Saccharomyces cerevisiae S288C: one gene and its partners. The gene in region 2 interacts genetically with the main gene of each other region. Each region holds a gene or a part of one and is shown on either strand. Other genes may lie near its edges.

Evidence for each region.
Region 1: mutations in YHM2 (region 2) and APL4 together harm fitness less than expected from each alone (positive genetic interaction), as found in Saccharomyces cerevisiae (2 studies listed by BioGRID).
Region 3: of YHM2 (region 2) and CTP1, a mutation in one rescues a mutant of the other (synthetic rescue), as found in Saccharomyces cerevisiae (one study listed by BioGRID).
Region 4: mutations in YHM2 (region 2) and CIT1 together harm fitness more than expected from each alone (negative genetic interaction), as found in Saccharomyces cerevisiae (2 studies listed by BioGRID).

What each region holds. Positions count from the first base shown.
Region 1 is NC_001148.4:623,961-628,736, forward strand, and holds APL4 (AP-1 complex subunit gamma), read right to left. Parts: upstream 3,008-4,776; coding exon 509-3,007; downstream 1-508. Other genes in the region: YOP1 (Yop1p), read left to right, coding at 1-242; CSR2 (Csr2p), read left to right, coding at 3,920-4,776. UniProt on the Saccharomyces cerevisiae protein: Adaptins are components of the adapter complexes which link clathrin to receptors in coated vesicles. Clathrin-associated protein complexes are believed to interact with the cytoplasmic tails of membrane proteins, leading to their selection and concentration.
Region 2 is NC_001145.3:749,983-753,405, reverse strand, and holds YHM2 (Yhm2p), read right to left. Parts: upstream 1,446-3,423; coding exon 501-1,445; downstream 1-500. Other genes in the region: 60S ribosomal protein eL20 RPL20A, read left to right, coding at 1-181; U2 snRNP complex subunit CUS1, read left to right, coding at 2,166-3,423. UniProt on the Saccharomyces cerevisiae protein: Mitochondrial antiporter which catalyzes the transport of citrate and oxoglutarate across the membrane. Also shows specificity for oxaloacetate, and to a lesser extent succinate and fumarate.
Region 3 is NC_001134.8:783,111-786,539, forward strand, and holds CTP1 (Ctp1p), read right to left. Parts: upstream 1,463-3,429; coding exon 563-1,462; downstream 1-562. Other genes in the region: BSD2 (Bsd2p), read left to right, coding at 1-446; YBR292C (uncharacterized protein), read right to left, coding at 1,592-1,963. UniProt on the Saccharomyces cerevisiae protein: Transport of citrate across inner mitochondrial membrane.
Region 4 is NC_001146.8:629,118-632,677, forward strand, and holds CIT1 (citrate (Si)-synthase CIT1), read right to left. Parts: upstream 1,945-3,560; coding exon 505-1,944; downstream 1-504. UniProt on the Saccharomyces cerevisiae protein: Specific citrate synthase with catalytic activity only with acetyl-CoA.

The DNA of each region.
Region 1 (4,776 bases), on a different chromosome or scaffold from region 2:
GTGTCATTGAATTCTGGTCCAAGGCAATTCTATATTTGATTCCATTCTACTGGTTTTTGAAAACCGTTTTCTTAATCTACATTGCCTTGCCTCAAACTGGTGGCGCTAGAATGATCTATCAAAAGATCGTAGCCCCATTGACCGACAGATATATCCTAAGAGATGTTAGCAAGACAGAAAAGGATGAAATTAGAGCTTCCGTCAATGAGGCTTCTAAGGCTACAGGTGCTTCTGTTCATTAAGAGGCAACTCACCTATATCCTCAAATCAAACTCTCGTTTTTGTTCTCTTTGTTATCTATTCTATTGAGAGCATATAAGTACATATGTTATTAGTTGTTATATATCGCTACTTAACATATAAAATATTTTGGAGTCGTTTATGGTGTCCCAGAAGATAGCATTTCTATTCATCGTGTTGTGTCGTGACGTGTCTCTTGATATGCGCGACAGACCATCCAACGCAAGGTCATTAATCATGTTATGTTCTGTAATTTTAAAGGCATTTTTTATAGAGTTTCATCGAATTTGTGATCGAACTGTTCATTGGTGATAGATGAAGAGCCATTTAAATGAAAATCCAACTTAACTCTTAACTTCAGTTTCCCAGATCCAGAAATTTTCAATGACTGCTTGCAAATTTGGCTGGCGTTTATTGTGGAAGATGGATATAACTGGCCTAGTGTTAGCTTTTGAGCTTTAGGAACGGCACAGAAAGTTTTTAAGTCAGATATTAAAGACTTTGCCTGAAAATATAAATCCAAATGTGCTAATCCAGAGTTTGCAGAGAGCAAGGAAGCATATACATTCAGTGAGGAACTGTCATATATCTTGTTGGCATCCAATGGTAAGGTGACACCTGAGTTTGCCTCCACTGCCGACGAATGATTGATTGATTCTTCCTTGTTCGCATTTTTGGGCACCTGAGCAATGTCATTCTTCTCTCCAAAAATCTCTTCTAATATGTCAATTGGTTTCACATTGTCACCAGTAGAAGCCTTGCTTTCAGCCTTGCTATCCTCACCCAATAAATCTGACAGCAGATCAACTGGTTCGTTGGAGATAAGGTTTTTCGATAGAGCTTTTCCATTATCCTGTTCCTCGGTAATTTTTTCAAATTTAGGCATTGTTTCTAAAATGATCTTCTTCACAGAAATTGACTGATTGAAAAATATCTCGTATTGATTGCTTTTCATTTGCAGTGATAAATCAGTGGAATCCGTGTAGCTCAATATCAGTTGTCTTAGTTTTTCAATATTTTTCGCGTCATGGAACCTCACAGATAATTTTAATGCTGCTGTTAAAATGTAATTGATTATCTTCAGATTCGTTGCTGTGTAGAGTTCTTGCAAAGTTAGTAAGTAATCAGTAATAGATGACTCATTGATTATGTCTGCACCATTTTTATTGCCCTCGTTGAGTACTAAATCGCCATATTCGCCAATGCACCAAATCAAAACCAACTGCCAACCAATATTTTCCTCGGAAATCTCCGCTGATGTTCCATTTAGTGAAATTGTCAGCATTTTCCGTAAAAATTCAGATTTGTCGGATAACTGGCTCGTATTATTTATTATGATTAGAATATCATTAATTTTTTCATAGTTGATAAACGATCCCACTAATTTTAAGATATTAAAGAAAACATCTAATTTCCAGCTTTCATCTTTGACAACGCGGGTATCAAAAGTGTCAATTAAGTGATCTATAGTGTATATTATGAGATCTTTTGAATCTTCATCCTGTTTTGCCAAAAATTTCATCAATTCGTTAACCAATTCCACTAAATTTGAATCGTCCAAGATGGCGAAGCTCAACTCTAACGCTCTCATGCGGATCGACACATCGGTATCCTGCAGACAATGAGAAATGAATTTTCTATGCCTTTGTACTGCGGTAGGCTCTTGGGGAACAACTTTTAATAAGGTGTTTAATGAAACGTATTTAGTATTATTATCTTTTCCTGCAAGAAACTTGGCCAAGATGTTAATACCAAGGACACGTAGAGGCTGGTTCAAATCCAACGAAAAGATCGTCTTCACGGTCTCATAAAGAATGGCCTGTCCGCTGTTTTTCGTTGAATCCGTATTCGTCGCAATACGAGTCAATAAATCGCAGAAATTATCTTTGTAGTCCAAAACATTGTTCGAATTTAAGAGCTCACCAACTTGAAAGTATAGTTTTAAAGTGTAAATTATTTCACACTGCAGAAATGGGTCACAAATACCTTGGACATCATATCCAGGTTCAATATTTTTAGAATTCATATTTTCCAAACGAATGAAAAAATCACGCAAAAGTAAAGATAATGGAGACAAGATGTCATTGCTGTAATCAATACCGTCTTCATCTTCATCCTCATCTTTTTTTCTGTTCAATCCAATTAACAAAATAGATTGTATGATTTTCGTAACGCCTAAAAGTACACCGTGAGTACATATTGAATGACTAGACAATATCTTAGTAATGTCTTCGATGTTGAAGATTTCTAAAAGTGAAACGTCTTTGAAAATTAGTTTGGCAGCACATTGAAGCGCTTTTTTCAAGAGGAAAGGGTCTCTTGAATTTTTGATGATATTTTCGACGTCTGGGTATAAATCTCTGGCTAATTCAGGGGAGCTCAAAAAGCCTAATGAGGTTAGTGCAAGTGACACTGCATATTTGTTGGGATGATGCAAATCGTTGTTCAACATGTTCGTTAAGAGTGTCAATAAATCTTCAGATTCGTCCAACAATAAAGTTGCGGCCAGATAGCCTAATCTTTTATCGACAAAATCGTCAGAAGCAATTAAATTGATAGACTCCACCTGACCGAAATGTGTCTTTTCCCCTAGAATGTATAGATACAGAAGTTTCTGGATATTTACTCGCCTTTTTTCATGTGGTAGATGGTCATCTCTCAATTTTGTCCTAATTTTAGCAGATTGTTTCGTTATAATTGCCCTTTCATCTGCCAGTGTTTTGGCACCACGAACGTCTTTGATAAAGCTTCTCAACGAAGAGCCCATTATGGTGTTCAGGTCTTTCTCGTTGCTAAATCAAGATGGTCAATATTTCTTCTCCAATATTAGCAGTATAAAATCTCGAAAAAGTATGATTTAGTTGTAATTCTCATATGGCCAAGCCCACTAAATTCAGTGAATACAAACAGCTAAGGACGTCAAAACTCAGAGTCGGGTAATCTTCATTTGAATTTTTTTTCTCTTAAGGTAGATAACACCAAAGAAAAGCAATCAGTAGCAAAATATGGACTTTAACGCTGTCAGTTCCAATTGAGAAATATCGTAAAGAAAGTTAGTTGTTTTCACTCGCAACCTCTCTACCTTCGTGGCCTAAAATAGATTTAAATAATCGAATAAACGGTTTGTTCTTATATGTGATACCCTCTTTCACCACCTTCCTGTAGCCCCAGTTGGTATTACTTGTCCCAACCTCATTCCTCTTTCCATTATCAATTAATCGGTTTGTGTTGTTCGTAGCAGGACCACACTTCCGGAATTATATACATTTACATGTATATAGAGAAGAAAGCTTCGGCGGCTAAAGAATAGAACCATCTATTACCCGCTCGCCCGGTCGTTTGGATGCGTGGGTGGTATAGTTTCTTTTTTTTCATTTTAAGGGATACCGCTCCCCACGTACCCCACGACCAGCCCTAGTGGAATAAGAAATGCAAAATCCGGGGTTGGCGCAGCGATTCTGCACGGCCAAACCCTGGGCTTCTTTATTTTGTAGATCTGCCAAATGATGGCTATGCCTTACTCGGTATCACATGGAAAAGACCCCCGGCTTATTGAATCCCGTCTCCCGTTCCCTGCATAGTTGTCACGGTTTGGACTATATATATCGTCGTTTCTCTGTTTTATTTATTATGATGGCTCTCCAAGGGTAATCAGTCAGACTAGTAAGCAAAGTCAATCATGCAATCTACTGTCCCAATAGCAATTGCGAGCAACGGCAACAAGAGAGATGTCGTCCAGAACGTTTCTGCAGGCGACGAGGGTGATATATTGCAAAGGCTAGCCCGTAACAGAGAGATGATTTCTACCTCCCTCTCGCCACAAAAATCGTCAGGATTTAGTGGTAGAAGGAGGTCATCTAGTGTTAGGGACGCCCTTTCTTCTTTTTTTGGAACTGGTAATAGTCCAACATCTAGTATGGACGATTATTCCAATTTGATGAACCGTAACTATTCTACCGCATCAACTGCCATGTGTAGGGGGAACAGTTTTCCTTCAGATGTTGGCACTAAGGCTTACAATATTACGGGATCTTACCAACCGGATAGGCACAGGAATTCTGTTCCGTATACCACCATAGACCAGTTACACACAAGGCAAGACACCGGGTTGAGGAGAGAGTCAGATCCAGTCGCGGCAAAACAAATATCTAGTAATAATGATATTGTTAGGTCATTCATAACACATCATGCTAGTAATAGCACTATGTTTATTAATAGGGTGCTATCGGACTATTTAGCGGATCGTGGTTTCATCAAGCAAACACCGTTATATAATAAGAAAAGTGTGCTGGAAATTTCCATTGCAACAAGTGCAGAATCAGTTTTCTTGCCAACTACAAAAAGTGATGAAACAGAGTATCTATCACTGATTCATGGTTCTTTAAATCAGGCGCGAACACAGCCTGTCGGGTCCACTAACACTGCAGAAAGTGATTTCCTCCCTTCATGTCCTACGATGGACACTTTGAATGAAAACAATGATTTATCACTATTTCCGTTACATACACAGCGAACCAGCCCCTCTAATACAGCAAG
Region 2 (3,423 bases):
ACACAGAGCTAGATTTAGATCTATTCACATCTTGAAGGTTGCTGAAATTGAAAAGACTGCTGACGTCAAGAGACAATACGTTAAGCAATTTTTGACCAAGGACTTGAAATTCCCATTGCCTCACAGAGTCCAAAAATCCACCAAGACTTTCTCCTACAAGAGACCTTCCACTTTCTACTGAACTGTGCATATTTGAATTTTAAGATATAAAATATTTTTCTGATACTTTAATAGTTTATTTTTATGTATTATCAATTCTGTAGAATTTAATAATTTCAACATTTCATGAACGGCCAGAGGTAAATGGGTAAGGCTTCCTTTCAAAGAATCTATAGATATTAAGGTTTGCATGAAGTAAATAGCTGATAACCTTAGTACAATTAGAACAAGTTGAGACAAATAGGAAGCACCCCAGCATAAGAGCAATATCCTCAGAAAAAAAAAAAATGACTAAGCTAAATAATTAATTTTTTTAAAAAAAACTTATAGTACAATACACGCTAATGTTTGGCAACTGGGGTTTCACCAGTCATTCTGGCGACAAATTCCTTCGCCATATCACCAAAACCAACCATGAAGACAGTTTGCCAGATACCTAAACCAATTCTTGGGGTGACACCACGGTAAAGACCCTTTAGACCATTTGATTGATAGATGTATTTAAATGTCTTACCAACAGTCAAATTTTTTGGTCTGTTTGGATCTTCCTTCTTAGATTGCATTTCAACTCTAATGACTTCGATTGGTTGATTCCAAGCACTTAAACCACCACCTAAAGCACTGGCACCAATTTTCTCGAACGGATTCAACTTGTCGTCTTTATTGGTTTTCCCGGTGATCTTTCTGATACCATCTTCCACTAGTCTGGACAAACCAAAACGAGAACCCCAGTTGGTCATTTGTCTAATAGCAACAGCATTAACACCCTTATTAATACCTCTAATACCTTCCTTTTTATAAATATTCTTGAACACACTCCAAGAAGATTGTGGGACACCACCTGCGGAGGCAGATTTATGTCTTGTAATTTCCACCGTTTTCATACAGGTACAGAACCCCATGGTTAAGTAGGCTTGAGTGACACCACCCGTGACACCACCTAATATACCTGAGGCAAAGTTGTTCAACCCCAAACTTTTGAAACGATACTCAGCCTCAGCTGACACGAACAGCAACACAGCACCTTTAGTGGAGGCTTCGATCCATGCCCATGGAATCAAACCTTGGTAGTAACCCAAGATACCACCTCTTGACCAGACATGCTTAACAGATTCTAAAAATGTGAAGTTTCTGTTTGCAGCCATTGTGGTCTTAACAACCTCCAAAGGTTGCCCTAATGTAGTCACCTCTGACAAGTTTAAACAGGCACCCAATAGGATATTAGAAAACGAGACTGGCTTTTTTTCTATTACGTTTGCTGCAGCAGTATTAGTGGTAGATGGCATAGCTATAATGACGTCGGGCTTTTCCTAGCTTTATTTGTACAAAAGACTTATATAAAAAGATTGTATCAGCGCTGTTTATATCTCAATGAAAGTAGATATATATACCGTAAGCGAGTTGAAACAATGACTTGAGGTGGGCAGCTTCGGACTTTTTGCAAAATTCAAATCCGAATATCTAGAAGATTGTATTGACAGCGTTTTTTAAATGTCCGTAGATTTCTCGAGATATATAAATGTTACAGAAGGTAAGATCCATGCAAGAGGCTAATGCGTTTTTCTTTTTTTTTTTTAGAGTGCGATATCTTGTCATAAGTTTACACAATGGGACAAAGGAAGCTAAAACATGAGTGCAAAAGAAGGGCCCATGTTTGTCGCCCTATGCATTTAGCCAATCATCTTTTTTTTTTGCGTGATCTTTATCAATCGTGATTCTCTGCCTTCTGAGTGAAAAAAGTCATGATCTTCGCGTTATTGCAGCGGAATTTGCCGACAGGACCTAGGTCTTGAGAAAGAAAAGTGATAGGGTAAGTAATGGAAGAAGAGGGCACAGGTCCAATCACGCAGCTTCATTACAGGGCTATAATTGCAAGAATAATAACTTTCAACCATATAGAAATCCAATACAGTATATTGGTATTGTTTAGAAAGGTATTAAGAAGGCAGTAGCATACAGAGTATATATCTATAGGCAGAGCATCAGATCATAAAGATAGTGGTGAAATGGCTAGAACCAAAAGTAGGAAGCGTTCCGGAAATAACCAAAATAAGAATGCGTCTGTGGTAAATAATAAGGCTGAGATCGCCGCCATGATTGATGCAAGAAGGCTTGAGCAAAAGAAAAAGGGTGGGGTGACTAACAGCAAAGGAAAGACGAATAAGGTAGTGGATGCGAAGTTAGAAAAAGAGTTCAAAGACGTTTTACAACGATTTCAAGTGCAAGAGAATGATACGCCGAAGGAAATCACGAAAGATGAAAAGAACAATCATGTCGTTATTGTTGAGAAAAACCCAGTTATGAACAGAAAGCATACAGCAGAAGATGAATTGGAGGATACACCCTCGGATGGTATTGAGGAGCATCTATCGGCAAGAAAACGTAGGAAGACTGAAAAACCTTCACTTTCGCAGTTAAAAAGCCAGGTACCGTATCCTCAAATTATAGAATGGTACGATTGTGACGCAAGATATCCAGGCTTACTAGCGTCAATTAAGTGCACCAAAAATGTCATTCCTGTTCCAAGCCACTGGCAGTCCAAGAAGGAATATCTATCTGGCCGTTCTCTGTTAGGTAAAAGACCTTTTGAACTTCCTGACATTATCAAGAAGACAAATATAGAACAAATGAGATCGACGCTTCCGCAAAGCGGACTGGATGGTCAAGATGAAAAGTCACTAAAGGAGGCCTCAAGAGCAAGAGTGCAGCCGAAAATGGGCGCCTTGGATTTGGATTACAAGAAGTTACACGATGTGTTTTTCAAGATAGGAGCCAACTGGAAACCTGACCATTTGTTATGCTTCGGTGACGTCTATTATGAAAATAGGAATCTTTTCGAGGAAACGAACTGGAAAAGAATGGTTGATCATAAGAGACCGGGGAGAATTAGCCAAGAGCTTCGTGCCATAATGAATTTACCCGAAGGTCAACTACCACCATGGTGTATGAAGATGAAAGACATTGGATTACCTACGGGATATCCTGATCTGAAAATTGCCGGCTTGAATTGGGATATAACGAATTTAAAAGGCGACGTTTACGGAAAAATAATCCCTAATCACCATTCAAGGTCCAAGAAACAGGGTAGAAACTATTTTGGCGCATTGATCTCATTTGAAACCCCTGAATTTGAAAATTCAAAAGAGGATACACAGGCGAATGCGGAAAATGGGCGCCAAGATGACAAAATCGATGATGAAGTAGAGCATAAGTTAGATCACTTCCAGGAAGACATATCCGAAGTGACAAGCGCAGAAGAAAAAC
Region 3 (3,429 bases), on a different chromosome or scaffold from region 2:
GAAATATAGCAAATTTATTATGGAATATCATCGTAAGCACGAGTTTTCAGTTCATTGGATTTTTAATAACCTACATTTTACACACATCTCACGCAGCAAAGCAAGGTTCAAGGTTTGGATTAGGGTTAACGTTCATTGGATATGGTTATTCAATGATTCCCAATGATGTTACTTCAAAAGTCGGCAAAAATAAAAGCTTAAATAGAATGGAATTAGAGGATCCAAATGAATTCGATGATGTTCGTCTAAATTCACAATCAACGACACAAGATAAATTTGAATCACATTTGAATCACGGTCTGGATGAAGAAAAACAAAACATACCATGGTTGGCTGTTTTTGTGGCATTTCTTGGGCTATTTATCACCCTGAAGAGTATATACGACTACATTCAAGTCAAAAAATTGGAAAAGAAATACCTCAACCAAAGTCAAAATCAAGCATAAGCCATCTTCTTCATTATGATAAAAAGAGATATATAACTTTTTTAAGTGATCGGCTGGTAAATAGACTTATAACGAGTAGAAAACATTAGATGATATATTGTACACAATAATACATTTCAGGCTAGCATAACTAAGACCTTTTCATAGATAGTGAAAACAATACCACCACTCAAGACCAATCTCCCAAGTCTAGGCGTAGCACCTTTCCAAAACGTCTTTAACCCTTCTTCTTTGAAAATGGTTGCAAAACAATTCATTGTAGAGGAGTATTTGGTGGAATCCAAACTTTGCATTCTTGTTTTCACAGTATCAAGGGGCATGGTGGAATAGACCGTCACAATACCACTAAATGCACCCACTAAGAAGGTTAACCCGGATGATAAAGGTTTGTCTTTTGGCGAATCCGTATAATCTTGGATCAAGGTCTTAATCTTATTGTAACAACCCAATCTAACGGCTTGGTTTGCGGCCTGTCTCATGGAAACTGGCAAAACACCACGATAAAGACCAGAAAATCCTTTATCACGGACTAATGATGAATAGTTTCGTACTACACCGCGCCCATTATTATGGTATTTTGGTGTAGCAGATTGTTTATCATCGATCAAAGCAGTTTTGATTGCTTCAAAAGGAGTCACTGCGGCAACACTTTCTAATAGTCCCGCACCTAACCCAGCTATCACCCCTCTTGTACCACTTAGTTCTCCAGTTTCACTATCTCTTAGCATGTCTTTAATGGTATCAAAGCCAAGAAATCTAATACCCGCCTTAGCGGTGTTTCCAATAATAAATGCGGGACATCCGACATAAATGGAACCAATGCCCTGAGTTTTTGCAGTTTTATATATCAATACCAGAGGATTTCTTGATGCCTTGGAGGCCTTATCAATCAGCTGCAGCCTTGTTTTGGCAAACTCAAAAGGATATGTTATACATGCTTCAGCAGCACCGGCTAGGGACCCTGCCAGAAACGAGTGCAATGGATCTACGTCACTTTTGGTAGCTTTACTGGACATCGGTAAAATGCTAATTTATAATTCAAGCTCTACTTTGGAGTTCTTTCATTGTGACATCAAAATGTTTTTAATTTTACGTTGGCTTCGACATTTTACGTTTTATATATCACGCTAAAGTGAGACTAAATTTCATTGTTCTTCTTTTTTTTTTTTTTCACTTCTAATAATTGAAAATTCCGCAGGAATTCTTCCATATTCTTGACTCTTCAGTAAGACTAACTTAATGGAAATAGAGAAAATAGTACATATTTGAAAAAAAAAAAAGAGGTGTTGAAATGATTTGAGAATATTAAATAGCTTACAAGCGTTAGCCGAGTTCCCAGACAGCAGAGTTTCTACCCTGTGCTCTTTGTTGGCGGCTTTATTGATGAGGAATATAAAAATGTAATTAGGCAAACCTACGCGCGAAAATATAAGAAGCAAAGATATAAAGTGTAGTATATTTGAATATTTACATGAACGAAACGGCGACGTATAATGGTAATCGGCTGGGAACTTCATTAAAAAGTCAAGATGTAAGTTACCTCTTAGTAAGAAGAGTTATTGCAGCAAGCTTAGTATCAATAGGGAGACTCTGTCATGTAAAAAAATAAATGAACACAATCATAACCTCTTCGACTGGGCTATTCGTTGTATAGTATATGTGGTGGAGTGTAATGAATGAAGTTCTCAGAAGCTTGAAAGCATATCAAAATCACGTATTGACTATGACAGATTCTTGTTTCTTGCTCCATTACTCCATTCGAGTTTTTCACAACTTTTGTCGTTCGTCTATAACATCTCTTTTTTTTCCCACTCTTCTAAAATATTGGCATAGCTGACATGTTTGGAACCGAATAAGCAATTACAATACGACAGTAAAATAAAAGCATGTTATTGCTGCTTGTAGAGAATTCCTGCATATGTAACTTTCTCATTCCGACGGGATAAGTTCATAAACTAATCAGCGATGAGTTGCGGAAAATTCGTCAATAGAATATTTTCCAGTCAGTGGTGGTCCCAGTGGCCTGCAACCTAATGGCTATAGTTCTGGATAATAAATTGGGCAAAGGTCAGTATAAAGAATGAATGTATCAGGCCGTAATTGAAGCTTTCAAGTCCAGGTGAAAGGCCAAATCGACAATTAGCGAAAACAGGATTTTTTTACCAACTTGAAATAGTGACTGCTGTCTTTTTGCCTGATTAAGTGGTTATATATTTCAACTAATATCACAACAAAAGGCCTCTCAAAATTTGTGGCGAAGTGTACATCCTGGGTGCTCAGGTAAGCGTCGTCTTCGTATTTTTTTTTTTTCAACAGTAGTTTGGAAATAATGCTCTTCGAGGAATGCGAGCGGAAATGTTATCCACTGTATAAGTCGATATTTTAAGGGACGCTAAATATATCATCATAGCTCGTCTATTGGTGGCTTCTCCAATTGCACTTTCAATGCATTATGGTAAAGTGTGGTGATAAGGCATAGTGATGTTTACAGAGGTCTGTTGGTTTCTCTGGGCTCGCTCATCATCCGACCAGTAACCTTGTGGGGTTTCACATATTGTTCTATGCATTATTATCACGGATTTGTGCCTGCAAATGCTGTTTCTTTGGCTTTTCTTTCTAAAAAAATTATGATATATATATTGTTCCTCCTTGTTTAACAGGCTTTACGGTATTGTGGATCCTAGTAATAGGCGTACTTTTCTTCATTTACATATTTGAACAATATATGTCTCACAAGTAGTTGACCGAATAGCGTTACGTAAGGGTCAAAAACCTTTTCAGAATTGTATATATGACATTTTTAGAACATGATATAATAAACAGAATATAAAAGAAAATAGAGACGACGTACCATGGCATGAAGAATTGTACTGATATCACATTGTGTTGAGCACTGATAGATTAATACTATATTTCTGCTAGGTGCGGGGGGTAACATGTCCTAATGTGTGGCAACCACATTCTAAGGCTCGGTAAGTGATGC
Region 4 (3,560 bases), on a different chromosome or scaffold from region 2:
AAAAGTGACATTTATCTTGAGGTAAGAACAGAAGAAAAAAAGGAAAAAGAGAAAATTTTATGAGATTGCTTTTTTCACATGACCATATTATATTCGCTTTATCAACTTTTTAGTGTATCTTCTACTCTAGGACAGATAAAGATGCATTAACCTTGTCATTTTGCTTCTTCTGCAGGTTCATATACATATAAACGTTAGTTACACCTTGACGTAGTATATCGACTACAGGCTAGATTTTACTGCTAAATCAGCGCGCCAGCCCACCACAATTCGATTTGAAAGCGCTTTGCAGGAATTTAAGAGCATTTTGTTTTCTATTCATTGATATCATTTGCCAAGTATATAACATAACCGGTAGGCATAGGGGACTCAAAGCGTAAAAATCATGAAGTCATAGCCATTTCCTTATGTAATATATATTTATATAAATTATAAACTACTCATTCGTATATGAAAATACGTGTTTGAATAGTCGCATACCCTGAATCAAAAATCAAATTTTCCTTAGTTCTTACTTTCGATTTTCTTTACCAACTCCTTGTATTTTTCGGTGGAGAATGATTTTGGCCTTTCGATTGGAGCACCAACAGCCCTATCGATGATTAATTGGGGTAACACACCAATAGCTCTGGCAACACCAAACAATACAGTGTAGAACGAAGCCTCAGTTAGACCATAGTATTGCAATAAAACACCGGAATGTGAATCAACATTTGGCCATGGGTTCTTAGTTTTACCATGCTTAGTTAAAACCCCTGGGGCAACTTCATAAATGGTGGAGACCAACTTAAATAACTCGTAATCTGGGAAATGTTTCAATGCGAATTCACGTTGAGCCGTATAACGAGGATCAGTTTTTCTCAAAACCGCATGGCCATAACCAGGAACAACTCTCCCTGCGTTCAAAGTATCCCACAAGTACTTTTCAATTGTTTCTTTTGAATAGTCACCTTTCACTTCTTCTCTCAATTTAAATAGCCATTCTAAAACTTCTTGATTGGCACGACCATGTAATGGGCCAGCTAAACCATTCAAACCAGCGGCCAAAGATAAGTATGGCGAAGATAAGGCAGAACCCACTAAATGTGTAGTATGGGCAGAAACGTTACCACCTTCATGATCAGAATGAATAGTTAAATATAGTCTCATTAAGTCAATAAAATCCTTGTTTTCGTAGCCCAAAAGTTGGGCCAAATTTTTACCATAGTCAGCATTAGGATCGGTTGAAGTAATTTTACCATCCTTGAACACATTACGATAAATTTTGGAAGCAATAACAGGTAATTTACCCAGCAGATCTAACGAATCTTCAAATGTATAGCTCCAATATTCTTTCTTGGATACACCTTGAGCATATGCTTTGGCAAACTTAGACTCGCTTTCTAAAGCAGTCACGGCAATAGAAAATTGCGCCATTGGATGTAGATCTTTTGGGAGGCTATCTAAAAGTTGGATAACGTGCTCTGGAATTTCTGATCTGGCAGCTAAATCAGCAGAAAGGGCTTTAACTTGAGCGTCAGTAGGTATTTCACCAGTCAAAAGCAACCAAAATAAAGCTTCTGGCAAAGGTTCTGTACTACCCTCAGCCTTTGGTAGTTCCCTTTGAATTTCTGGAATAGTACGACCCCTAAATCTAATACCTTCTTCGGGGTCTAACACGGAACCTTCCCAAACAAGGCCTTTAATACCTCTCATACCACCATAAGCTTGCTCCAAAAGAACTTCACCAATAACGGTTTTACCGTGTTCTTTCTTGAATTTTTTAATTTCTTCTGCCTTTGCTGGGATAATTTCAGCAAATCTCTCCTTCAACGTTTGTTCGGAGGCGCTACTATAGTGGCGAGCATTCAATAGTGCAAAAAGAGCCTTTTGCATATTTTGACATTGTCTTGTGGAGCCCCTTGATAAGAAACTTTTGCTAGTTGTTGATAATATCGCTGACATCTTCGTAAATAGTATTATATTGCTATATGTTTTGCCTTATTTTCTTTTTAATGGTTGTAATTGTAATTACTTAAATGCAAATAAAAGCCAAAACAAACCTGGTTTGTATTTTAGTAAACAGCAAATTTCCCCCTTAAGACTAGCAATCCATAACAGGGGAAGGGTAAAGAATAGTTGCTGCAAGTTTTGAGCATTTATATAATGGATGGATATCAATTGACATTTTCAAACAACAAGAGGTCGGATAAGTCGATAGTATCGGAAAAGCTCCAAAGGGATTGCGATCCTCCAATAACACAAAAGTATTTTTGGTCTAGCGGGGGTCATACTTTTCATTTCCGGGCGGCTGCGGCGGAAAAAAACGTGACGCCTTTTAGCACAAAAATGCAAGGTAAATACATAAAAAAAAAGGCAATGTGAACGTAAAAACGCTCATATTTACAAAGATTAATTGAGCCGTTCAATGAAATGCGAACTTCGGAGATTTCTTTAATTAGTTTAGGTATACTTTCCTGCGAAGGTCTTGTTGGAATATGTAGTAATCTCTACCCGCGTTTTTAGTTAATGCTGAATGGTTTTTGATGGCTCCTTTTTTCTTAGAGTGACAGGCGCGGCAGCCCCTTAACGCGGGTACCTGAACAAGTAAATCCGAAAATTCAATTTGACAAGGGAATCATTGGGCTGACAACAATAAGATGAGCTCTCTTATATTTTTGCCCAGGGAAAAATTTTTTGCCCACTAAAGATATGCAATATTAAAAAATTTGATAAAAATAAATCAATGGGGGCGAGCCGGGACTCGAACCCGGGACCTCCCGCACCCTAAGCGAGAATCATACCTCTAGACCACACGCCCGGTAGAAGTTGTTTTAATGAATTTCAAAATATGGTACCTCAACATCAATAGATCATCAACCACAACGTAAAACATGCATGTGAGGCTTAGGTGATTTTTGAGATAATTGTTGGGATTCCATTGTTGAAAAAGGCTATAATATTAGGTATACAGAATATACTAGAAGTTCTCCTCGAGGATCTAGGAATCCTCATATTCCTCTGTTGATAATTAGAGGTTAAAAATTAGTATTAATGAAGAAATAAGTACTGATCTTCTTATACTAAATAAGAGATGTATATAAAACACACGCTGATTGGTCATATTAATCATGACCAATATAATAGTGATTCCGGTAGTTACTAAACATTGATGTGACGACTCATATTCCTCATATATGTACCTACCATAACATGTTCAACTAATAGGTCTTTAACACAGCTTCAGTATTGTCTGAGCTTCTCGTTTAACATTCCTTCTGCAATAGGCGCAATCACACTTAAACGTATACGAGGTGTACATTAATATACGATGTAAGCATTAGATTGTTACCATAGCAACTCATGTCACTATTAATTACTCTCGTTCCAACAAAACAATTCTTAAAAATTCACCAATTTAGCTTCATGGCAAGGCTTACAGATGATTAAAATCGTGTAGATCATGGAAATCGAACCTTTCACGTTCTGCAGAATTTAAAGTGACTCCATGGCCAAGTTGGTTAAGGCGTGCGACTGTTAATCGCAAGATCGTGAGTTCAACCCTCACTGGGGTCGTTTTT